Macaca mulatta: one gene and its partners. The protein of the gene in region 1 interacts with the protein of each later gene in a pairwise test. Links are inferred from orthologs where the notes say so. Each region holds a gene or a part of one and is shown in the gene's direction. Other genes may lie near its edges.

Region 1 (6,215 bases):
AGATGTGAGCCACTACACCTGGCCTAGAGACGAGGTCTTGCTTTGTTGCCCAGGCTGGTCTCAAACGCCTGGCCTCAAGTGATCCTCCCTCCTGCCTTGGCCTCCCAAAGGACTGAGATTACAGGCATGAGCCACCACATCTGGCCCCTCCTGTATACTTTATTATTTATATATTTATTTATTTTGAGACAGGTCTTGCTGTCACCTAAGCTGGAGGGCAGTGGTGCAATCTCAGCTCACCGCAACCTCCGCCTCCTGGGCTTAAGCAATCTTCCCATCTCAGCCTCCCAAATAGCTGCAACTACAGGCATGAGCTACCACACTTGGCTGATTTTTTGTAGAGATGGTGTTTTACCATGTTGTCCAGGCTGGTCTTGAACTCCTGAGCTCAAGCAGCCCACCTGCCTCGGCTTCCCAAAGTGTTGAGATTACAGGCATGAACCACCATGAGCAGCCCCTCCTGTATACTTTAAATCATCTCCACATTTCTTACCTGCAATACCTAATACAATACAAATATGTACATAGTTCTCATATACTGTATTTTTTTTTTCTTTTCTAGAGAGAGAGCCAGTCTTGCTTTGTTGCCCAGGCTGGTCTGGAACTCCTGGCCTCAAGTGATCCTCCTGCCTCAGCCTCCCAAAATGCTAGGATTACAGGTGTAAGCCACCACTCCTGGCCATGTATTTTTAAATATGTATTTTTTTAATTGTTGTGTTTTTTTCCCCCAAATATTTTCTATCTGTGGTTAGTCGAATTTACACATGTAGAACCTGAGAGGCTGTGGAGGGTTGACTGTATATAGTACTGCCTGTGTTTTATTTGTTTTTCTTATTTTAGCTTTAGAAACACTATTGGGATTAACACTATAGCTGGTCCAGATCTCCAAAAAATAAGACAACAGAAGTCTGAACTGATGTTCTTGAGCAGTTGGCCTATGTCTCACAGATACATTTTGCTCTTGACCTAAGCTGAAGCAGGAATGTAATTTGGAGTTTGTCATTTGCGATGGAGAGGATGGGGTTCTGCTAGCTAAGAAGCATTTATCATAGTCAGGGCTGACCCCAGAGGCCTCTGTTTATTTCAAACTCTGTCTCTCAGTTTATTCAGAGCTAGGATGTACCTGCAAAGTTGGAGGCTCAATTCCAAGCCACCAGGGAAGATTGGTGGCTCCTGTGTTCCAAAGTGACCCCTATGGCTATCTTGTCCCTGGCTTCGTCTATCATTGGAAAACCAAAAGCAACTATGTCTTTAGCAAGGAACTTTGAAACACCTCTCACAGAATTGCTGACTCATCCTTGATTTAAAGAGCAATGAGCAGGTCTGACCTTTTTAGAAACAAACCATGGCACTACCTCCAGAAAATAGGACAATTTTCCTTTGACAGTGGACTATAGTGCCAGCGTGTATGGGGTGGTGCCTTTCCCTAGGAGTAACCCTCTAGCCTACTTTTTGATAAAACCACCAGAAGCAGGACTATTTATTTATTTGAGAAGGTGTCTGGCTGTATTGCCCAGGCTGGTCTTGAACTCCTGTCCTCAAGTGATCCTTGTATCCTGGCATCTCAAAGAGCTGGGATTACAGATATGAGCTACCATGTCGTGCCAGACACAGGTTTTGTAAGGTGGTTTTGATGATAGGTTCTCAGAAAGAAGCTCCATTCTCAAGCAAATTTGTCCACCAAACTCAGAGCAGATGGGCTACAGGCCTCCGTGTAGAACATGTGCACGTTCTGCATTTCTCAAAGGAAGGAGATGTGAGCAGCTATGTGCTCACCTGCTTTGCCAAGGTCATCCTTTGGGTTCCCCTGACATCACAGTGGCCCTGACATTTCATAAAAGCACACACATGCCTCTTCAGTTTGGTCTTTTCGGATGCTGTGTCTGCCAGGCCAACTCTGTCTCCCTACTTGTTGATGGTGGGCAGGAAGTCTCACTAATTCATAAATTCTTGGCCAGAGTGTGCCCATCAACAGGGGTTACACTTGCCACCTCCTTAAAAAGGCTGTGTCTGCCCACAGGCATCCCAGCTCAATGCATTCTCCATGCTTCCTGGCTATTCAGGTAGGACCGCCGCACCTCTGTGTTTGGTACGGGGCTCGCCCAGAGAGGCCGCAGCCTTCGGCGATGCATCCGTGCACGGAGCTGCAGCTGGCTCTCCTCTCTACACTCCTGTGTCTATATAAGCGCACATTTTAGTTTGCTTTTCTGGGGAAATCTTTGAGTAGGTGCCATTCCCAAGGTTCGCTCAAGGGGAGGAATGTGCCTTTGGGTACAGGGTTTCGGCAAGTCTTGGTCCTGAGGTCCAGGGTCACTAAGCCCAGGCTTCGGAAGGCGACTTCAGCGTGAAAACACCCCACGCCTCCTACCACACACAACGCGCTTCGGAGGAGGGCGGGAGAAGGGGACTCCCGAAAGCGGGAGGCTTGCGTTACGCAGTTGAGATATATCCGGGCTGCTAAGTTACAAGGGGGTGGGGGCTCTCCTAATTTGCCACCTTGGAGATGTGGAGGGAGCTGGGGTTTTGTGACGGAGACCTGGGTAGCTGGGACTGGCCGAGGAGCGCGCGGCCGGGGCGGGACGGGGGCGGAGCGGGCGCTGCGCTGACTGCCGCGGCAGAAAGGGGGCGGCCGCGCCCATTTCCTCTGCTCCGCCGCGGCCAGAGGGATCCGCATCGGCGAGCTGTGCCTCCCGGGTGTCGGCCCCGGCGGCTCCCTGATCGTGCCCGGCTGTGGCGAGGCGGCTCCAGCCCAGCCTGTGGCGGCCGCTACCTCCAGGGCGCTCCGGAGCCCACTGCGCGGCGCGCGTGGCGACTGCCCGCATGGACGCGGCACTGAAGCGGAGCCGCTCGGAGGAGCCAGCCGAGCTCCTGCCGCCTGCACGGGACGAGGAGGAGGAGGAGGAAAAGGGGATGGAGCAGGGGCTGGAGGAGGAAGAAGAGGTGGATCCCCGAATCCAGGTAGGGCGCGCGGGGTCACCCCGCATCCGGGCTTCGCGAGGGCTGCTGCGGAGGTCGGCGTCTACGCGTACATCCACTTCGCAGCCCCCAGTGACTGTGGTCTGGGGACTGGCGGCCACATACGGTGGCAGGAGACGATCTGTATGCTCTGTTTCATCGTCTCCACAATGAGGAGGCTACAGTGCCCGCGTGGATGCGGCCTGACTCTATTGCGGGGAGCCCCCCGCAGACCCCTAGCAGGATCGGGGTCGCCGCAGAGTGCCTGGTGGTTCGGGCGGATGTGCAACAAAGGGAAAAAGGGGGCGGGGGCGCCATGGTATCCTCGGGGGTACCCCCCGCCCGGCCACCACGGCACCGCGGGCAAGGCATGGCCTCCAGGCTCTGCGAGGAGGGGTCGCCCGCGTGGGCGCCGGGCACCGTAGGCGGGTGGGCGTTGCCCGCCCCTGCAGCGCGGGCTGGCACTGGTGCCCCGGGTGCAGAGTCCTCACCTGCCAAGGTGCCCGGCCTGAGCCGTTTTCCTTCTCTGATTCATTGTTAGAGAACTGAGCGTCTTACTGTCACCACCGGCTCAACGTTCCGCCTGGCCTGAAATTGCTTAAAACCCTGCTTTTCCTTGTTGTGAGGCTGGGCATGAACAGAAATCAGGGACAACTGATGCGCAAAGCTGACGCGTGGAGGCGGCGAGGGGATTGGGCTGGCTGACTGTGCCTCCATTTCCAAGAGAGATGATTAAAAAACAATTTCCAAGCCGAGATCTAGGAGTGACAGTTTAACCTCTTCACCCCGAAGCAAAAAGCAGAGCAGATCCCTTTCTAAGACCCGTTTTATTCTACCTTTTCAGTAAATCATTTTTAAAAAATTGCTTTTAAGCATGCTCTGTAATTTCTGGATCCCTAATTGGTTTTTTAGTGCACAGATCAATTTAAAAGCTCACTTAACTCAGTGGTTAGGGTTTAAATGAATTGTTTTGTCAGGTTAGCAAGATAAAGATCAGGTGGAAAAAAAAAACCTTGCATTAGGAATGCTATTAATTAAAATAATTGGTTTGGAATAAATCGTGTGTTATTGGTATGGGATTATGTTAGCAAGATCCTTTGTTTGCATAGTAAAGATGAGTTAAGTTCATGTTGGATGCTTTTTACAAAATGTCAGTTTGTAAATGTTTATTGAAATGAATGGGATTAAAGCTAGTTTAAAACATCCAGCTAAGTAGGTTGAATAATTGGCAGTGTGAAAAGATTTTCACCCTTTACAGAAAAATAATTCTGGTGAGTTAATACCAGAATTCTGCCCTTGATGATTTCACTGGGTTTATATTTTTGGCCTGGCCTTGCTTATTGTCTTTTATTGTTTTCTAAGCAAAGTTCTTGCTCAAGGCAGATGGTGCTGTTTTGATGAGGCCATTAAACCATTTGTAACAGGTGGGATTTACCTGAAGGCACATACCTGGAATATTTGACCTCTGACAAATTCCAAATGTCTCTGAAGACATTGTCAAAAAGGATACCCTCAAGAAAATGGTTTCAGAAATGCTGACATTCATTTGCTTTTCTAGCTAAGCCTCAACTGTTTGCCTTAAGAATTAATACCAATTCTTCCCTTTTCCTGCAAACTGGGCTGGGATAATTTTTCAGGTTATGGACTGAGTTATATTGGAAACAAAAGACGGATCCCGTAAGTCTTTTTCTCTCCCTCTTTTCTTCACCAGGGAGAACTGGAGAAGTTAAATCAGTCCACGGATGATATCAACAGACGGGAGACTGAACTCGAGGTACAGAGAGCTGAGTTCCTGTTCTTGGTGAAGTGATGTCACTCACACCGGCACAAGGCTGGTTAATTTTGTCTTCATAGCTGGAGGGTTATTGCTGGACCCCCCTCCTTGGGAGTTGAGCAACAGCTCCCTGACAGAATAAAATACACCACTGAGCTCAACCTGTGGGCGGAACGCATGTGGATCCAATTTCACATGTTGTTTTTCATTATGGAAGCTCCATGGGGCCTAAATCAAGTCTGTGCAGAGCGTTACACAACGCCTAAGCCCCAAGTTTTCATGTGACTGAAAGGATAGAGAGGAAAATTAGCTGAACTCTTTAATGAAGAATAATGAATGAGCTCACAAAATCTCTTACATGTTCAGGGCGGTTCCTGCCATTTGTCCTGGAAAGGTTGTGTTGTTTCCTCTGACTTCGACCATTTCTTGACTTTCCTGTCCTAATAACTCACCCCCACCTTCTGCTTTCCTGCTCATTTCTTTATTGTCTGCTTGTGCATAGAATATAATTATAATGGTAACAAAAAGCTGTTTAGACTGGAAAGGCCTTTCCTACTGGGAAAAATCTTGGAAGACTAAAACTTGATTTAGGTTTCATGTGCATTTTCCAACCGGAGTGTAAACAAGTTAGCATTCATCACAGCCTCTGATTAGTTTCCACCCCTTTCCAGTAGTGGTTGCTTTTACCACCCATCAGCAAATTTGAACAACCACTGTATGTATTCAGGAGACTGAATTGACTGTCAGAGCCTGGAAGGGACTCTCAGCGCAGCTTCCCAGTGCAGGGAGCTGTTGGCAAAGTCTGTTTCTGTAGCAGGAGAAATAGCAAAAGTCAGTGGAAGGGACAAGAAGCACATGGTCCCTAAGAGTGAGGGTGTGGGAGACAGGAATATAATCTGCCAGGATTCACAGGCAGCCTTGATTTCTGCTGCATGCGTAGGCCCTGGAGTTACCAAATCTGGATGTAGCAATGTGGATTAAAAAGTCTGTTGCTCTGAGCTGTGTGAAGGGTTATCGCTCACCACCTCCATTTCCATCGTAGGTGTACAAGAACACGGGCTGTCCTTCTCCCTAAGTGAAGTAAAATCTAGTTTATTTACATTTCTTTCACTTATGAATTGAGTCTGTCTGTGATGTGCGGTAACCGAAACCTCTTAGGATCTCAGATTTCTAATGCATTAAACAACAAAACCCTTACCATTCCTATAGGGCTTTAGCATTTACAGACTGTTTTTTACACGTTTTATCTCATTCCATCCTGTCACACCAGCCTAGAGCTATGCTGTCCCATATGGTAGCCATGTGCAACGTATGGCTATTTGAATTTAATTAATTTTTTTTTTTTTTCGACACAGAGTCTAACTCTGTCGCCCAGGTTGGGGTGCAGTGGTGCGATGTCTGCTCTCTGCAACCTCCACCTCCTGGGCTCAAGTGATTCTCATTCCTCAGCTTCCTGAGTAGTTGGGATAACAGGTGTGTACCACCA
Region 2 (6,403 bases), on another chromosome or scaffold:
ATCCTCATGACAGTGCTACACTAAAGTCAAAATTTTAGGCTGGGAAGCATATCTATCAAGATTAGCCAACTAGTAATCAGAGATGCGACTTTCAAGCCCAGGTTTGTTTGACCCCAAGCTTTGCTCTTTCCACTGTGATATAGTGCATTCCTCATGGAATTGTGTTTAGCCACAGAAGAATAGGTAATGGCATGTGGCCTTTCATGTTTGGAGCTCAACATTAGTCGGTATAAATCTACACTTCATAAATACTTAATGTTAAGTACTTTTCCTACTTTCTGCTGGAGGGAAAAAAGCAATTTCCAGTTGATTGACTACATTTCCACACATGGTTTTCCAGTACAGTTTCAGGCAATTTAGTTTTTTTTTTTTTTTTTTTTTTTCGAGACAGAGTGTTGCTCTGTCACCTAGACTGGAGTGCAGTGGCACGATCTTGGCTCACTGCAACCTCTGCCTCCTGGGTTCAAGCCATTCTCCTGCCTCGGCCTCCCCAGTAACTGGGATTGCAGGCACGCACCACCACGCCCAGCTAATTTTTGTATTTTTAGTAGAGATGGGGTTTTATCACGTTGGCCAGGCTGGTCTCGAACTCCTGACCTCGTGGTCCGCCCACCTTGGCCTCCCAAAGTGTTGGGATTACAGGCATGAGCCACTGCGCCCGGCTGGCAATTTAGTTTTTAAAAATCCCTATCCAGCAGAGGCTTCCTTATTTTATTGTCATTTTTTTTTGTACTGACACAACAGATGCATTTTGAATAAGTCTGAACATCACTACTTTCTATGAGTAACTGGCCATTGGGAGACCAGATGAGATATTTCTTATGCCTCCCATTCCAGGAGGCCATTATTTAGGGGACACATGGCATGTTATGGACATCTAGCATATCATGTTGGTCCACCTCCACTTCTCAATGGTTCTCTGCTCTACATCAAGAAGTTAAGATTTAAAAACAGAAGCATGAAGAAGAATGTTGTGGACTGATGCACTGATGTGCACTGATGTGAGTTGCACTGATGTGAGTTTTCCTATCCAGCTACACTTTTTGTTAGGTGTCTACCGTGAACAATGGCACAATTTTATCAGACAGCTGGATAATGTTAAGAATTATAATCTGTAACCCCAGATTACATGAAAATAAATGCCATTCGTAATACTAATTATGTTCCTGACCTTATTGTATTTAGTTAGTAACCCCAAATAAACTCATCTATTTATTTGAATGGGAATATTAACATCACATAAATCATATTTAACAATGAACACATGAAACAATGTATCACCTGGTTTAATATTCTGCTTGACTCATCTAAATCTTGTTTCTCTTAGGTCATAGAATTTCCATCTGTGTTCACTCTATTGGAATAATGCTGTTTGTGTATAATTCTATAATGCCTGCTTTACTATTGAACAGTAGGTATGGAGTCTTCAATGGGATTATCTCATTCACGGATACATCTTTTGATGGCAGAAAAAAAAAGTATACATAGGTAGGGGAAAGACAGAAAAAGCAGTTGCTGAAAAATAGGACCTGATGGTGAGTAATGGACAGCAATCTGTAACCCAGGCTGGAGTGCAGTGGTGTGACCTCAGCTCACTGCAACCTCTGCCTCCCGGGCCCAAGTGACCCTCCCAACACAGACTCCTGAGGAGCTGGGACTACAGGCGTGTGCCACTTTGCCCAGCGAATTTGTGTATTTTTTGTAGAGATAGAGTTTCACCATGATGGCCAGGCTGGTTTCGAACTCCTGGGCTCAAGTGATCCGCGGGTCTCGGCCTCCCAAAGTGCTAGAATTACAGGCATGAGCTACCGTGACCAGCCTAGCAATCAGGTTTTTATCCGTTTGGGATGTGGGAGAGGCTAAGCTAAACTAGAATTCAAAAGAAAGGAATATATTCATAATTAGTTAAACGTAGGGTGAAAAATAAAATTTCAGAGATAAGCAGAATAGGAAAAAAATCATTATTTTAATAATTCACACCTATTGCACCATTATTTCAATTTTACAGAGAAAAACAGGCAGAGTGATGAAATGGCTCATATATACACAACAAATGGCAGAGCTGGAATGCCAATCCTAGCAATCTAAACCAGCATTTAAAAACGAGGAATTAAAGCACATAGGGTGAGAAAAATTATAGGGAAGGGACAAGAGCTCAAGGACACACCTGGAAAAGAAATACTATAATTTTAAAAATTACCAATGGGCTAATTATAGTTGTGTTTTACTGGCAGAGCGCTTTGTCTATGTTAGCTCTTTTAATCCCGCTAATAATTCTGTGAGGTTGGTACTATTAGTTCCATTTTTCAGACGAGGACGCTTAATAGATGATAATCGACACATTCTCTGCTTGCTCTGAGCTGCATCTCAACAGCTGGCTCTGGAGCAAGCAAAGGGAGACTGAGGGAAACAGAGCGGACCAGGGCAAGCCGCCTGAAAGTGAGAAATGCAAGAAATGTTTCTCATCTAGGCAGGAGCTGGTTCCAGCATTCAAATCTCTCCAGCCGGCCCGCCACCACGTCACAAACCCCGCCTTTCAGTGACAAAGCCCCGCCCCGTTCCTTTGGCTGTTCCCTAAGCTCCCAATACTTCCCTCTTTCTCTTTGGCCCCTCCTACCCCGCTAGCATCATTTCCTGTGCGCTGGATGCTGATTGGTCCGACGGTCGGAAGTGAGGGCGGGCGGTGGGGGCCGTTGCCGCAGTGACAGTGCTAGGGGAGTCCGAAGATGGCGGCGTCGCGTCGCTCTCAGCATCATCACCACCATCATCAACAACAGCTCCAGCCCGCCCCAGGGGCTTCAGCGCCGCCGCCGCCACCTCCTCCCCCACTCAGCCCTGGCCTGGCCCCGGGGACCACCCCAGCCTCTCCCACGGCCAGCGGCCTGGCCCCCTTCGCTTCCCCGCGGCACGGCCTAGCGCTGCCGGAGGGGGATGGCAGTCGGGATCCGCCCGACAGGCCCCGATCCCCGGACCCGGTTGACGGTACCAGCTGTTGCAATACCACCAGCACAATCTGTACCGTCGCCGCCGCTCCCGTGGTCCCAGCCGTTTCTACTTCATCTTCCGTTGGGGTCGCTCCCAACCCAGCCGGCAGTGGCAGTAACAATTCACCGTCGTCCTCTTCTTCCCCGACTTCTTCCTCATCTTCCTCTCCATCCTCCCCTGGATCGAGCTTGGCGGAGAGCCCCGAGGCGGCCGGAGTTAGCAGCACAGCACCACTGGGGCCTGGGGCAGCAGGACCTGGGACAGGGGTCCCAGCAGTGAGCGGGGCCCTACGGGAACTACTGGAGGCCTGTCGCAATGGGGACGTGTCCCGGGTAAAGAGGCTGGTGGACGCGGCAAACGTAAATGCAAAGGACATGGCCGGCCGGAAGTCTTCTCCCCTGCACTTCGCTGCAGGTCAGAGACTTTTGAATTGTTTATTAAGGGTTTTGGGTTTGGGTGCAGGGTCCAGTTAGGACAAGAAAGCAGGTTATTGTGATGGGACAAAGTGGGGGCGTGGTCATGGTTCTTCAACACCTCACCAGAAGACTAGAGGTGCCTTTCTTTTGATGGTGTCTGGGTGATGGGGGCGTGGTTGGGGTGGGGGGATAAATGAATCCAAGAAATTCTTCAGTGGTTGCACAGTTTAGTTTTCGGTGTGCAGGAATAAAGTTAGATTTGGACAGCTTTAGAGTAGTTTTGTCATTTGTGTGCTATTTTGTTTTTACAAAGGTATGTCCCTTGAGGAGAGTCCAGACCAAAAGAGGTTTAATACAACCCAGCAAATGTTTGAGCATCTATTGTAGCCTTAGTAACCCAATGAAAGACAGAAATGAAGTTTATGAAAGTTTCCCTTCTTTTAAAGAAGTTTACAGTCTAGATGGGGAGACCAAAATATGCCAGTGTGAAACAACTGGAGAACAATATTTGGATGCATTATATGATGATAGAAGAAATACAGGCTTTGATATTGTGGCCACTATTATTTGTTGTATAGCAGACCGTTTACCTTGTGTCAGTTGCCTCAGTTTTCTCATGGGCAAAAATCATAAAATGATGTTGTGCGAGCATTTGGTGAGACGTATCTGGCACAAAGTTCTCCCTCAAAAAGTGTGAATTTCTTAAGCTCTGGACCTCACACTTGTCTTTTTTTTTTTTTTTTTGCAAATAGTTGATGATTTTCTCTCAAAGACACCTAATAATATGTTTATAAAATAAAGAAAACTGTAAAAGAAAAACAAAGGACTATAATTTCACTGCCTCGATACTTACTGTTGATATTTTAAACATATAGGTAATAATGTTATATACATTAGAAACATTATATTAGAAATACATGTATTGTCCCAAATAGGACAGAAAAATACAAAATGAAAGGCATCACACGCTCACAAACATCAAAGATAACACACCAAAGATAACTTCTGTTAAGTTTCTCTTATATTTCTAATATATATATGTGTCACTTCTTCAGTTTGTTCTGTTAATAGTAAAACGTGTTGACCCACTGTAGTAGTATTTATTTTTACCACACTTGGGAGATATGATTAACCATTTTACAGATGACAAAAGTGAAGCATATATAGATCGTTTAAGTAAGTCCAGATTCACTCAGGAAATAGTAGAAATTGAGTTTGAATTCAGGTAGTTTGACTTTAGAGCTTGTGAGATCAAACTTAAACTGTCAGAACCCTGGATTAAGGTCACTTCATTTTTGTGAGTAATTGAAGTGTAGAGTTCCCGATTTTTGGGAGAAATAGTAATGGGGAGGGGCTTATATGCAAGACAGTAGCTTTCACATGTTTTTTATTGTAGCCCATACTTAGAAATACATTTTACATGGTCACATATGCAACTGAATCAAAAGCTTCTGGAAACAATACTTTCCCTTAATATATGTGTTGTCCTCTGATAGTTTATATCTTATTCGATTTCATTTTTAGTGAATGCTGCTTGTGATCCATTAATGGGTCATGACCTGTGGTATGAGAAACACTTAAAGGAAATTATTATTAGGTCACTGGATTCATTCTTGATATACAGACACTACTTACTAGGAATGCAGTGGATTGAATCATAAACAGACTTTTGTCTATTTGTTTGCTCAAGGGTCTTGCTTGTTTTAGATGAAATAGCATTTCTTTTTCTTTAGGCTAAATGAAAGGCCCAAGTCTGATTTTATAAATCAACAGAGATGTCTACTTTTGCATACTTTATTCCAAGTTTGACTATTTTAACAAATTGTTTCACCAATCAGGTTATTTCTCACCACCCCACTTTATGAGTAATCACCAACAAATGATAGTTATACTTATGTGTATTAATGTATTTAGGATAAGTCACACAAAATAGTGCTTGTTTCTCAAATCACATGTCTTCTATTTGCTACAATAGTTACTTGTTATTCTGTTTCGGAGTTTTACATACATCCAGATTAGCTAGAAGATAAACAATAAAACAGTACCGTAATTATGTTGTAGTTATGAGAACCTAACCTTGAATTGGCTTTTTAAGAAAAATTTTAGCTCAGTTGTGGAAAACACAATAATAAAATTCTCAATGATAGGAAAACATAATATCCTGTAGTCAGTTTGCAACACTTCCGTGATTGAATGCATAACATTAAAGTTTTATTAAACTTTAGTCTTCTTTATCATGTATAGGCTGAGAAATGAAAAGAATTATCAGTGACTGGTTATTATGATAGTAATTGAATTGTCATGGAATAGCTGTTTTAAAGATGAGAAATTGGTACAATCCCTTGAATGAAAAAATTTAAAAATTACAGTTTATTTGTTCCAGAAATATTTTAGTGTACTTAGATGATTGGATGTTAAATACTGACACAATTGTGTAATGGCAAACATTCTGTAAGCCTTAAGGAGCTTACAGTCTAGTAGGGAAGCATAAACAACAACAACAAAAACCTGCAAAGTATCTAGTGTCTAATCTGGCGTGACAGGAAACGTACATTATACTGTCTGTCCCAGTATGTAATAGGAGCTCTTATCCTTGCTTTAGAGCAGTTAAGGAAGTCCTTCTAGGTAGATTTTTTTTAAAGCAGGTGTTAAAAGGGTGAGCCCAAGCTAGCCAAGCAAAGGTTGGAAGGGATGATGTTAACTAATACTTTTATTTCTATTTAAAAATGAGTTTACAGTTCTATGGAATGAAATGAAACAATTTTGTTTTCTTTCCAACTTTTAGGCTCAGGGGTTATATGTGCAGGTTTGTTACATGGTTAAATTGCAAGTCTTGGGGGCTTTGGTGTACAGATTATTTCATCACCTAGGCAATGAGCATAGTACCAGATAGGCAGTGTTTTGATTTTCGGCCTCCCCCCACCCTCTACCTTCCACCCTCAAGTAAGCCCCAGTGTGTATTATTCCCTTGTCTGTGTCCATGTGTACTCAAGGTTTAGCTC
Region 3 (5,654 bases), on another chromosome or scaffold:
GCGGGGTCTAGATGTTTCTCAGTAGCCTGACGGTACTCTGAGCACCAGCGTGTGTGTGCATTGTCTTATCAGACATTTTATTGATTTAAAATTCATCCTATTTTATGGCTCTTCAGCTCTTCCTTGCTCCAGGACTCACAGAAGATGAAGTCAATCTGTTGTTTGCTGGTATGGGGAAGCCTTTGAATTGTAGTGTATTTCTTAGAAATCACAAAGCACATTTCATGACCCAGCGTTACAAATTAAAGCTAATTCAAATGATAAAGCTCAACGTTAGTAAAATATTTTTATATCAAAAACTGCTATAATCATATTTAGACATTTTTATTTGTTTTTTGTTGTTGTTATTGTTGTTGCTGTTTTCTGAGACCGAGTCTCCCTCTGTTGCCCAGGCTGGAATGCAATGGCACCATCTCAGCTCACTGCAGCTTCCACCTCCCGGGTTCGAATGATTCTCCTGACTCAGCCTCCCAAGTAGCTGGGATTACAGACATGCACCACCACGTCTGGCTAATTTTTGTAATTTTGGTAGAGACAGGGTTTCACCATGTTGGCCAGGCTAGTTTCGAACTCCTGACCTCAGGTGACCTGCGCGCCTTGGCCTCCCAAAGTGCTGGGATTACAGGCATGAGCCACCGTGCCCGGCTATCTAGACATTTTTAATTGAAATTTAATTATGGTATTTTTGTCCTTTTGTATATACCCAGTGGATTAAAGTTAAAGGTGAATTCACCTGAAGCTTGTTATAACTTTATATATCTTGTCTGTTTTCTGAACAGGAAAGATATGATCCGCCAAATGATGATTAAAATATTTCGCTGCATTGAGCCAGAGCTGAACAACCTAATTGCATTAGGAGACAAAATTGACAGCTTTAACTCTCTTTATATGCTAGTCAAAATGAGTCATCATGTGTGGACTGCACAAAATGTGGACCCTGCTTCTTTCCTAAGTACTACATTGGGAAATGTTTTGGTGACTGTCAAAAGGAACTTTGACAAATGCATTGTGAGTTTGCTTTTTTAAAAAAATACCTTAGCATCCTAGTCATTGCAAAATATAGGTAAATGTATTTAAATCGAGGGATTTCCAGCTTTCTGTTGGGGAATCTGTTGTTCATGTCCCTCAAAGCAGGGCATGGCAACAATCTGCATGAACAGAGTTAGTTGGGTGGTACTATGCCAGCTAGTTTCCCTTCCACACTGTGAATCTTGGCAAGTTCTGGAGGACGTGGCACAGCGGCGGCAGTTGCTTAAGAGATCCACTCGAGGCCAGACGTAGTGGCTCACATCTGTAATGCCAGCACTTTGGGAGGCTGAGGTGGGCAGATCACCTGAGGTCAGGAGTTCGAGACCAGCCTGGTCAACATGGCGAAACCCCGTCTCTACTAAAAATACAAAAATTAGCCAGGCGTGGTAGCACACACCTATAATCCCAGCTACTCGGGAGGCTGAGGCAGGAGAATTGCTTGAACCTGTGAGGCGGAGGTTGCAGTGAGCCAAGATTGCAACAGTGCTCTCCAGCCTGGGTGACAAGAGTGAAGACTGTCTCAAAAAAAAAGAAAAATTCACTGAATAACTGACATCTCAGTTTATTAGTCAGTGACCATTGATTTAATGAAACAATTGAAACTATCACTTGGGTTTATTGTTATTGTTCTTTTAATACTTTCTAATAAGAAAACTAATTTGATTATTTTAATTGTTTTATTTTAATAGTTTAGTAGCTTTAATAATTGTATTTTATTTTAAGAATAAATTGTTATAACTGAGCAATTATCATTTTCTTCCTAATAGAAAAAAATTTAACAACTTTCTTACTATCTGTTACTTTTTTTTTTTTTTTTTGAGATGGAGTCTCATTCTCATTGCCCAGGCTGGAGTGCAACAGTGCAATCTCGGCTCACCTCAACCTCCGCCTCCTGGGTTCAAGCAATTCTCCAGCCTCAGCCTCCTGAGTAGCTGGGATTACAGGCATGAGCCACCATGCCCGGCTAGTTTTATATTTTTAGTAGAGATGGGATTTCTCCATGTTGGTCAGGCTGGTCTCAAACTCCCAACCTCAGGTGATCCGCCCACCTTGGCCTCCCAAAGTGCTAGGATTACAGGCATGAGACACTGCACCCAGCTGTCTGTCTGTTACATTTTTTACACTTGTATGTATGAATTGGGCTGGGCCAGGTTAAAAAATGCTTCATGAACACTTCTCAAGGTGTGGCACTAGAGAAAGTAATCGAGACAAAGATATAAATTCACATATTCTCATAAGTTGCATATATATATAAAGGACATAGGTTTGCCACTAAAGGGTGGTTTCTTCTACCTATCATCCTTCTCTATATCTTATTTTAATTCTTATTTTAATAATATCTTATTTTTGATAAGATCTTATCTCTCATTTATGAATGCTGGTCAATAAGATCAATAGACCAGCATTTATAAATGAGTGCTTACTGTGTACCAGGCACAAGTCTGAGCACTTTGCACATACTATGTCATCTAATCTTAAACCCAGCCCCTCAATAGGGTAGATTGTTTGAAAGGTGAAGTTACTTTCTCCAGGTCCACAGTTTAAAAATATGGGTCTTGTATTCAAGACAGTCTGGTTCTAGTACCTGCGATCTTACCACTACCTTTTCTACTGCATCCATTTTTCACCTCACAGTTGCCAATACTGATGAAGTGGAACATGAGTACACATAATATGAAATAATTGACTATGCTCATAGGGTTTTTTTATACTGATGTCAGAAGCCTAGAGATAATTATTTTGCTAATCCATATGTCATATGGTTTTCGAGTTATACTCCCCAAATCTCAACACAATGAAATTTGAGGTAGAAACTGAAATAATACAAAAGTATTTGGCAGTGTAATCATTCCTACTGAGTAGATTTAGATCCCTTCAGAACCATAGAACCATAATTGAATCCGTGGATCGTTTTGAACCTAGGATTCTGTCTGCATGAAACATGTCTTTCACATTTTGTCATATCATGCACAAGCAGTTTGTGGAACTAAGAATAAGTGACTAATAAATATATGGAAAACTAAATAATGCAAATCCATATGGAAATGCCTGTCCTCCTTCTTTGTTTCTATACTCTGAAAATAGAGAATTTGTCTATCCAGACAGAAATTTTAGACTGATGAAAATTGGAAATGACTGTGGTTCTCAAACTTGACCATGTGGCCACCAACCAGAAGTTACCTGGAGGGATCCTATAGGTGCTCTAGAATCTGCTCTCCTGTAACCTAAAATCAGTAATTGCCTTGTACTCATCTTTCATAAATGGTAGAAATGTGTGTTGACTGTTTTTACTTTGTACAGAGACTTGAAGTTCACAGCCTTGATTGTATTTTGTTTTGTTTCATTTTATTTTATTTTTTGAGACAGAGTCTTGCTCTATCGCCCAGGCTGGAGTGTAGTGGCGCAATCCTGGCTCACTTTAACCTCTGCCTCCCAGGTTCAAGAAATTCTCATTCCTCAGCCTCCCAAGTAGCTGGGATTACAGGCATGTGCCACCCCGCCCAGCTAATTTTTTTGTGTGTTTTTTGTAGAGATGAGGTTTCACTGTATTGGCCAGGCTGGTCTTGAACTCTTGGCCTCTAACGATCCACCCACCTTGGCCACCCAAAGTGCTGGGATTACAGGCATGAGCCACCGTCCCCAGCTTATAGTTGATTTTAAATAATCTGTATTACTTTGATTTTCTTAAACTTACTGTAAAATGGTTTTATTATCTATAGAATTAGTTTTTCTTAATTAGTAAGCATCCAAAGTGTTCTAGCTACCACGTGATATCCTGCCTCTATGATATCTGTGCATATATCTATATCTCCATCTATATATTTTGTTGTGATTATATGTAGTTTTAAAGTTGCTTGGTTATTTATCTCCCTTGCTCTCTGCCTAACTATAGAGTAACCAAATAAGGCAAATGGAAGAAGTAAAGATCTCAAAGAAGAGTAAAGTCGGAATTCTTCCATTTGTTGCTGAATTTGAAGAATTTGCTGGACTTGCAGAATCAATCTTTAAAAATGCTGAGCGTCGTGGAGACCTAGATAAAGCATACACCAAACTTATCAGAGGAGTGTTTGTTAATGGTAAGCTTTTGTTATGTTCTAAAGAATTGTTGTAGCTATTGTTTTTATTTCTGGTAACTAAGAAGTCGGGAACAGATAGGTTCATTATTTTGTGTATCTTACAGTCTTTTTTAGGTTTTCTAACATTAAAGATTTCTTGAATTTGAAAAATAAAACCTATTCATAATCATTAGGAACCACTTACATTTTAGGGTTCATATGGGCTTATGACTATGCAAAATTGAAAATCTTTTTTTTTTTTTTTTTAAGATGGGCCTCACTCTGTCACCCAGGCTGGAGTGCAGTGGCATTATGTTGGCTCACTGCAACCTCCACCTCCCAGGCTCAAATGATCCTCCCACCTCACCTTCCCAAGTAGCTGGGACTACAGGTGCACCCCACCACACCCTGCTAATTTTTTGTAGAAAATCATTTTTTAAACACAAAAACATGACCTTCCAGATTACATTTGCATTTCAACAAGTGGTCTTCTAGAGATGATGGGCTGTGATGTGTGTGTGACCTTAAGCAAATCAATTCATTTATTTAGGCCTCAGTTTTCCATATCTATTATACAAGGAAATTAGTACTAAAATACAGGAGAAATTAGTGCTGAAATACTATAACTCGCTTTCTTCCTGTGTCAGATCCCACAATTAAGTTACAGAAAAGTCTGGGCATGTCATTTCATGTGAAATAAATGATCTGATTGCATATATTCAGGAATTGTAGAAGCTAAAGAATTGGCAGGAAATGGAATCATTTCACCAATTATTGCCCAGGCTGGAGTACTGTGGCATAATCTCGGCTCACTGCAACCTTCACCTCCTGAGTTTGAGCAATTCTCCTGCCTCAGCCTCCTAAGTAGCTGGAATTATAGGCAGGTGTCATCACACCCAGCTAATTTTTGTATCTTTAGTAGAGACGGGGTTTCACCATGTTGGCCAGACTTGTCTCAAACTCTTGACCTCAAGTGATCTGCCTGCCTTGGCCTCCCAAAGTGCTGGGATTACAGGCATGAACCACTGTGCCCGCCCTTGATTTTTCCTTTTAAAATTCAAAGTAGCTTTGCTTTATCTGATTCTAAAGTAATGTGGCTAGGCACACTGGCCCACACCTGTAATCGCCGTACTTTGGAAGGACCAGTTTGGGGATTGCTTGAGCCCAGGAGTTGAAGACCAGCCTGGGCATCATAGTGAGGCCTTGTCTCTATAAAAAAAATCAAAAAAATTAGCCAGGTGTGGTGGTGTGTCCCTGAGTTTCAGCTACACAGGAGGCTGAGGCAGGAGAATCATTTGAGCTCAGGAGGTCAAGGCTGCAGTGAGCCTTGTTCATGCCACTGCACTCTAGCCTGGATGACAACGCCAGACCATGTGTTAAAAATAAATAATAAATGAATTAATTCATTCATTATTCTTTGTAAATGAATTAATTCATTTATAAAGAAACTAAAATGTATAAAACTTAAGAACAGACAGATATTCCTTTAATTGGATAAAAAATCTATCTCAGGCCTAAAGCTTACATGACACTTAACTGCAATAGTAGAGACATTCCCTCTGAAATCAG
Region 4 (5,654 bases), on another chromosome or scaffold:
CAGAACAATGGGGTGGACAGTCTCTACAAATTAAGTACTTTCTAATTTTATTTGGAAAGGATCTGGAAGAACACGTGCCAGGCTACTAACAGTGGTTACCCATGTGGAGAAGAGTAGTAAGATTAGGATGGGGGCCGGGAAATGGAAAAAGGGAACTTGTATTTTTCATTTTGATCATTTGAACTTTTTATAGCAAAGATACGTTCAGGTATCATCTGTGTGATTTTAAACCATTTTAAAAATATTAAATAAAGAATATTTAAATGTTATTTAAAATATAATGTATTGCAGGTAAAGCAATGAAAAAATGGGTTGAATCCATCACTAAAATAATCCAAAGGAAAAAAATTGCAAGAGACAATGGACCAGGTCATAATATTACATTTCAGAGTTCACCTCCCACAGTTGAGTGGCATATAAGCAGACCTGGGCACATAGAGACTTTCGACCTGCTCACCTTACACCCAATAGAAATTGCTCGACAACTCACTTTACTTGAATCAGATCTATACCGGTATGTACTTTAACATTCAAGCTGAAAAATCATTTCAAAAGAGTGAATTTTTAAAATGAAATACTGATTTCTGCCTTACAGGGTTGTCCTAAGACTTAACTGAAATCGTACATGAAGTGTCTAGTAATGAGGCCAGGCAGGCACTTCCTGTTCTTTCACTCCCTTGGTCCCTCCAGCTGAATTTACACCTTCTGTCTTTCTGTGGTCACCCCTAGTTGGTAAGGCTAGGTTCAAATCCTGGCTTTACTAATTGCTGACCCTGGGCAACTTTAACCTCCTTGTGTAACTTTATCCTTCTGCCCCTTATTTTCCTCAAGAGTAAAATGGGGCTACTGATAGTACGTACTCCTGGGGCTGTTTTGAGGTTTGAAAGTCAATGTATGTACATTACCTAGCACAAAGTAAGGGCTCAATAAATGTTGGCTACTGCTTTATTGTGAACTTATAGCCATTATAGTCTTTTTTAGTTTATCATACTACATTGATATAATTATCTCAAAAATGTCCTTCTGATTTTAAATGGGGACTATTTAGAATCTTAAACTAAATTATTCATTTTTTAATAGCTAAATGAGAAAATGAGCTAAATTTATAGATCTCCCACTAAAAATCATATTTCTGAAAATTACAGTATTAGAATCTATTTTGTTTATTTCCTAGGACCCTTTTGTGGTAGGTTTTTTTCCTCTCCTCCTTTAGACCAAAAAAAAAAAGATGTAGGAATTGCATTGATTACTGTACCCTCTTTGAACTGATTTATAACAGATATCATTACTTAAATGTCTACTTTGTCACCCTAATTTATTAATAATGTTTATAAATGCTGGAAAAGATATTATGGAGGAGTTTCAACCTTGCCCAAAGCAAAATGCTACTATAAAGCAACACTAAAAGTACACAGGTATTTCCATAAAAATAGTTTTTAAAAACAGTTTTTAAAGGCCGGGCGTTGTGGCTCACTCTTGTAATCCCAGCACTTTGGGAGGCCAAGGCAGGTGGATCACCCAAGGTCAGGAGTTCGAGACCAGCCTGGCCAACATGGTGAAACCTTTTGTCTACTAAAAATACAAAAAATTAGCCAGGCTTAGTGACGGGCACCTGTAATCCCAGCTACCCGAGAGGCTCAGGCAGGAGAGTCACTTGAACCCGGGAGGTGGAGGTTGCAGTGAGCCAAGATTGTGCCATTGCACTCCGTCCTGGACAACAAGAGTGGAACTCCATCTCAAAAAAAAAAAAAAAAAAAAAAAAGTTTTAAAAAATCCATAAGGAAATATGCATAATTATACTTTTTTGTTATACCTTGTTTTCACAAACCTTTCTGTTGGTGTAAGAGGAAAGTTCATATGAGAGTTTAGTTTTTAATCTATCTCCTTTACTTAATAAAACAGTGTCTATATTAGAGGAAAAACTGTCATGTAGAATTATGTATTGATGATTTTAGAGCTGTACAGCCATCAGAATTAGTTGGAAGTGTGTGGACAAAAGAAGACAAAGAAATTAACTCTCCTAATCTTCTGAAAATGATTCGACATACCACCAACCTTACTCTGTGGTTTGAGAAGTAAGTATTCCTAGCATTCTTACATTTTATAGCTGTCAGCTATATTATGAATTTCAATGCAATTTTGTTTTTGTTTTTGTTTTTGAGAGGGAGTTTTGCTCTGTCACATAGGCTGGAGTGCACAACATCGGCCCACTGAAACCTCCACCTCCCAGGCTCAAGCGATCCTCCCACCTCAGCCTCCAGAGTAGCCAGGATTACAGTGTGTGTGATATTACACTCACCTAATTTTTCTTTTTTTTTTGAGACAGAGTCTGGCTCTGTTGCCCAGGCTAGAGTGCAGTGCGTGATCTTAGCTCACTGAAACCTCTGCTTTCTGGGTTCAAGCAATTCTCAGGCCTCAGCCTCCTAAGTAGCTGGAACTACAGACGTGTACCACCACACCCAGCTAATTTTTGTATTTTTAGTAGAGACGGGGTTTCACCATGTTGGCCAGGCTGGTCTTGAACTCCTGACCTCAAGTGATCCACCCATCTTGGCCTCCCAAAGTGCTGGGATTACAGGCATGAGCCATTGTTCCTGACCAATGCAATTTTATTTCTATATGTCTCATGTCTTTTTCCTCTGTTCCTCCTTTATTTAGTAATTGTTTTTCATTGAATGAAAATGACAATATTTTTCATTAGAAAACGTTGAATGTTTTTCTAATGTAGCATTTTAGTTTCACTAATTATTTTCATTAACTTTTTTTGAGGTTCTTTTAATGGTTGCCTGGTTGCCTTAGAGTTTACCACACACATCTTGTCAGAATCAGCTTCAGACTTACAGTAGCTTCATACCAGTGATATATAGAAATATTACTCCTATGTAGCTCTATTCCCTTTCTCCCTTTTTTGTGGTACTGTTATACATATTACATCTTATTAATAATGCAAATCAAACAATACATTGCTACAGTTATTACTTTACCATTTGTCATCATACTCTTAGACCATTAAAGCTTTGCTCTCACCCACCTCCTTTGTGTATTATTGGCAACATATTACACATATATTACATTTCTATGTTATAAACTCAACAATGTGTTTATATTATTTTAAGTCAGTTATGAGAAGAAATGAGAAAAAAAATACGCATTTACAAAATGTCTTTAATAATTACCCAATTACCTTTACTGGTGATCTTTGTGTGGATTCGAATTACCATCTGGGATCACTTGCTTTTCAGCCTGAAGAATTTCCTTTAGTATTTCTTCTGGAGGGTCGGCTAGCAACAGATTCTCTCAGTTTTTGTTTATCTGGGAAAATCTTTATTTTACCTTCATTTTTGAACAATACCTCTATCTTCAAGTTAATACTTTTTTTCAGTTCAAATACACTATTGAGCTTTTCCAGTAAGTTTTTTATTTCAGTTATTGTACTTTTTAATTCCAGAATTTCCATTTGGTTCCTTTTTATAGTTTCTATCTCTTTAATGATATCCTCTCTTTGATGCGCATTGTCATCAACACCTTCCTTTCCTTCTTTTTCATGCTTTCCTTTAATTCTGTAACCATATTCATAATGGCTACTTAGAAATCTTTTTTGTTATTGTTGTTAAATCTGACATTTGGTTGCTCTCACAGGTAGTTTCTGTTCCTTCCCCCCTCCCCCACCCGCACCCCGCTGTAAGAGTCATATTTTCTATTTCTTTGCATACCTCATCTGTTTTTGTTGGAACCCTGACATTTCAGATAATATATTGTAGCAACTCTGAGTGCTGCTCCTCATTCCCCAACCCCCTTTCCAGGGATTCTTACTGCGTGGCAGTGGTACTGGAAAGACCCATCCACTCCTTCCCTGACCACACACACCCAGCTATGAAACTCCACAATTTGCCAGCTGATTGCTCTGATGTTTTCAACGATTTCCTGGTGGCATAAATGCTATACAAAATAATGCAATCAGATTGTGGCTCCTTTGAAGGAATGGTTTTCTGAGATTTCTGTTTCATACTTGTTCTGACCCCAGGAGGGCTTCTCTCAGTTGTCTTATTTCCTAGTTCTCCCCTGCAAACTACTCTGCCTACAGTCTAGGGTGTATCTTCATTAGATCCACAAATCTCTTCCCCATTGCCTTTCACCACAATTTCCTCTGTTCTTAAGGGCACCATTAAATTTAAACTACTTTATACTTTGTTGCAAATGACAAGATTAGGAGCTATCTGTTTGAAACAGGGCTCTAAGGCTCGGGATAATGGCAAGCTTTTCTCTGAGTGACACTTCTGCCCTAGGAGCTTGGTTGAGCAGGTAGAGTGGCAGACGATGGTACTGTAGCCTGAGGTCTCCTTACCTGCCTCTTCTGGCATGGAACCACGCCTTCAGGAACCAGAGGAAGGGCTCTTTTCTCAGTATTCTCAAAATATCATACCCAAGGTAGAGTCTCCATTCCATAAGTGGAAGTTGGGCAAGGAAGGGTCTTCCCACGTTTCAGCTGCACTCAACTGGGACTTGGCCTCAGCAACAGGCAGCAGGGACAGGATGAGAAAACTAAAGTCCTGCTCCTGTACCTCACTGGGAGCTAGGTGTTCTTGACTGCAGGAATCTGGAGTAGATGCTCAGTCCACCCTCACTGAGCTGGGAGAAAGGAGGGAGGGACCAGTCTTGGTTCAAATACCAGACTCTCTTCCCTCTCTTACCAAATTTTTGTAGATATTCCTGAATAGATGTTTCTTTTGCCATTTGCTCTCAGGGCCATTACTAGAGACTTTAAATGTGTGTGTGCACATGTGCATGTGTGTGTTTGTGTGTTTTAATAATTTTTACCAGTTTCACTCAGTGAAACTCATACTATCATACCACAAGTCCAGAATCTCAATGCAATTATATATTAGGTTGGTGCAAAAGTAATTGTGGCTTTTGCCATTACAGTTAATGCTGTTCCTAGAAATGTAGGAAACATAGGAACAGAGCTGTTCCTAGAAATGTATGCAGCCAATTATATATGAAAGAAAGAAATTGAGCATTAATCACTGATTCTTGAATTCTACTAGAATACACCCATATCACAAAGACCTCACAAAGACTTACATACATACCACAAGATAGTAGCCTCACCAGTTAATTCTAATGCTAATAGAGGATGCACCAAATACAGTAGGAAAATGATTGTTTGACTGTACCAGTCTAGAAAACAGAAAAGAGCAGTATGCCTCACTGGAGGCACTGCCTTCCTTCTATCAGTCACCCTGAATGTGTCTTCTCTATAGTAGTTATACTATAGCCACCTGCCCCCACTCTCTACATTATTTTATTTACTAAATTCTTTATAACTTTATTGGAAAAACTCTAGAATCTTTAGTTCACTTTTTTTTTTTAATTCCCAGATGTATTGTAGAAACTGAAAATTTAGAAGAAAGAGTAGCTGTGGTGAGTCGAATAATTGAGATTCTACAAGTCTTTCAAGAGTTGAACAACTTTAATGGTGTCCTTGAGGTTGTCAGTGCTATGAATTCCTCACCTGTTTACAGACTAGACCACACATTTGAGGTAGGTTTCTACATGTGTTTTTAAAATGAACTTTCATTCCCTATTATAAACATTAGATTTTTAACAATTATTATCTTTAATTTTTAAATGTCTCATTTGTCTTTTCAGGAGAT

What was found.
Region 2: the proteins of SH3BP5 (region 1) and TNKS interact in a two-hybrid assay, tested with the Homo sapiens proteins (2 studies listed by BioGRID and IntAct). The link is inferred for Macaca mulatta from reciprocal best matches to the Homo sapiens genes SH3BP5 and TNKS.
Region 3: the proteins of SH3BP5 (region 1) and EXOC1 interact in a two-hybrid assay, tested with the Homo sapiens proteins (2 studies listed by BioGRID and IntAct). The link is inferred for Macaca mulatta from reciprocal best matches to the Homo sapiens genes SH3BP5 and EXOC1.
Region 4: the proteins of SH3BP5 (region 1) and SOS1 interact in a two-hybrid assay, tested with the Homo sapiens proteins (2 studies listed by BioGRID and IntAct). The link is inferred for Macaca mulatta from reciprocal best matches to the Homo sapiens genes SH3BP5 and SOS1.

The regions. Positions count from the first base shown.
Region 1 is NC_133407.1:33,152,407-33,158,621, forward strand, and holds the start of SH3BP5 (SH3 domain-binding protein 5), read left to right. Parts: upstream 1-2,642; 5' UTR 2,643-2,820; coding exon 2,821-2,958; intron 2,959-4,666; coding exon 4,667-4,729; intron 4,730-6,215. UniProt on the Homo sapiens protein: Functions as a guanine nucleotide exchange factor (GEF) with specificity for RAB11A and RAB25. Inhibits the auto- and transphosphorylation activity of BTK. Plays a negative regulatory role in BTK-related cytoplasmic signaling in B-cells.
Region 2 is NC_133413.1:11,722,468-11,728,870, reverse strand, and holds the start of TNKS (poly [ADP-ribose] polymerase tankyrase-1), read left to right. Parts: upstream 1-2,720; 5' UTR 2,721-2,726; coding exon 2,727-3,399; intron 3,400-6,403.
Region 3 is NC_133410.1:77,575,809-77,581,462, reverse strand, and holds part of EXOC1 (exocyst complex component 1), read left to right. Parts: intron 1-779; coding exon 780-1,008; intron 1,009-3,922; coding exon 3,923-4,106; intron 4,107-5,654.
Region 4 is NC_133418.1:85,933,573-85,939,226, forward strand, and holds part of SOS1 (son of sevenless homolog 1), read left to right. Parts: intron 1-291; coding exon 292-514; intron 515-1,955; coding exon 1,956-2,075; intron 2,076-5,378; coding exon 5,379-5,541; intron 5,542-5,654.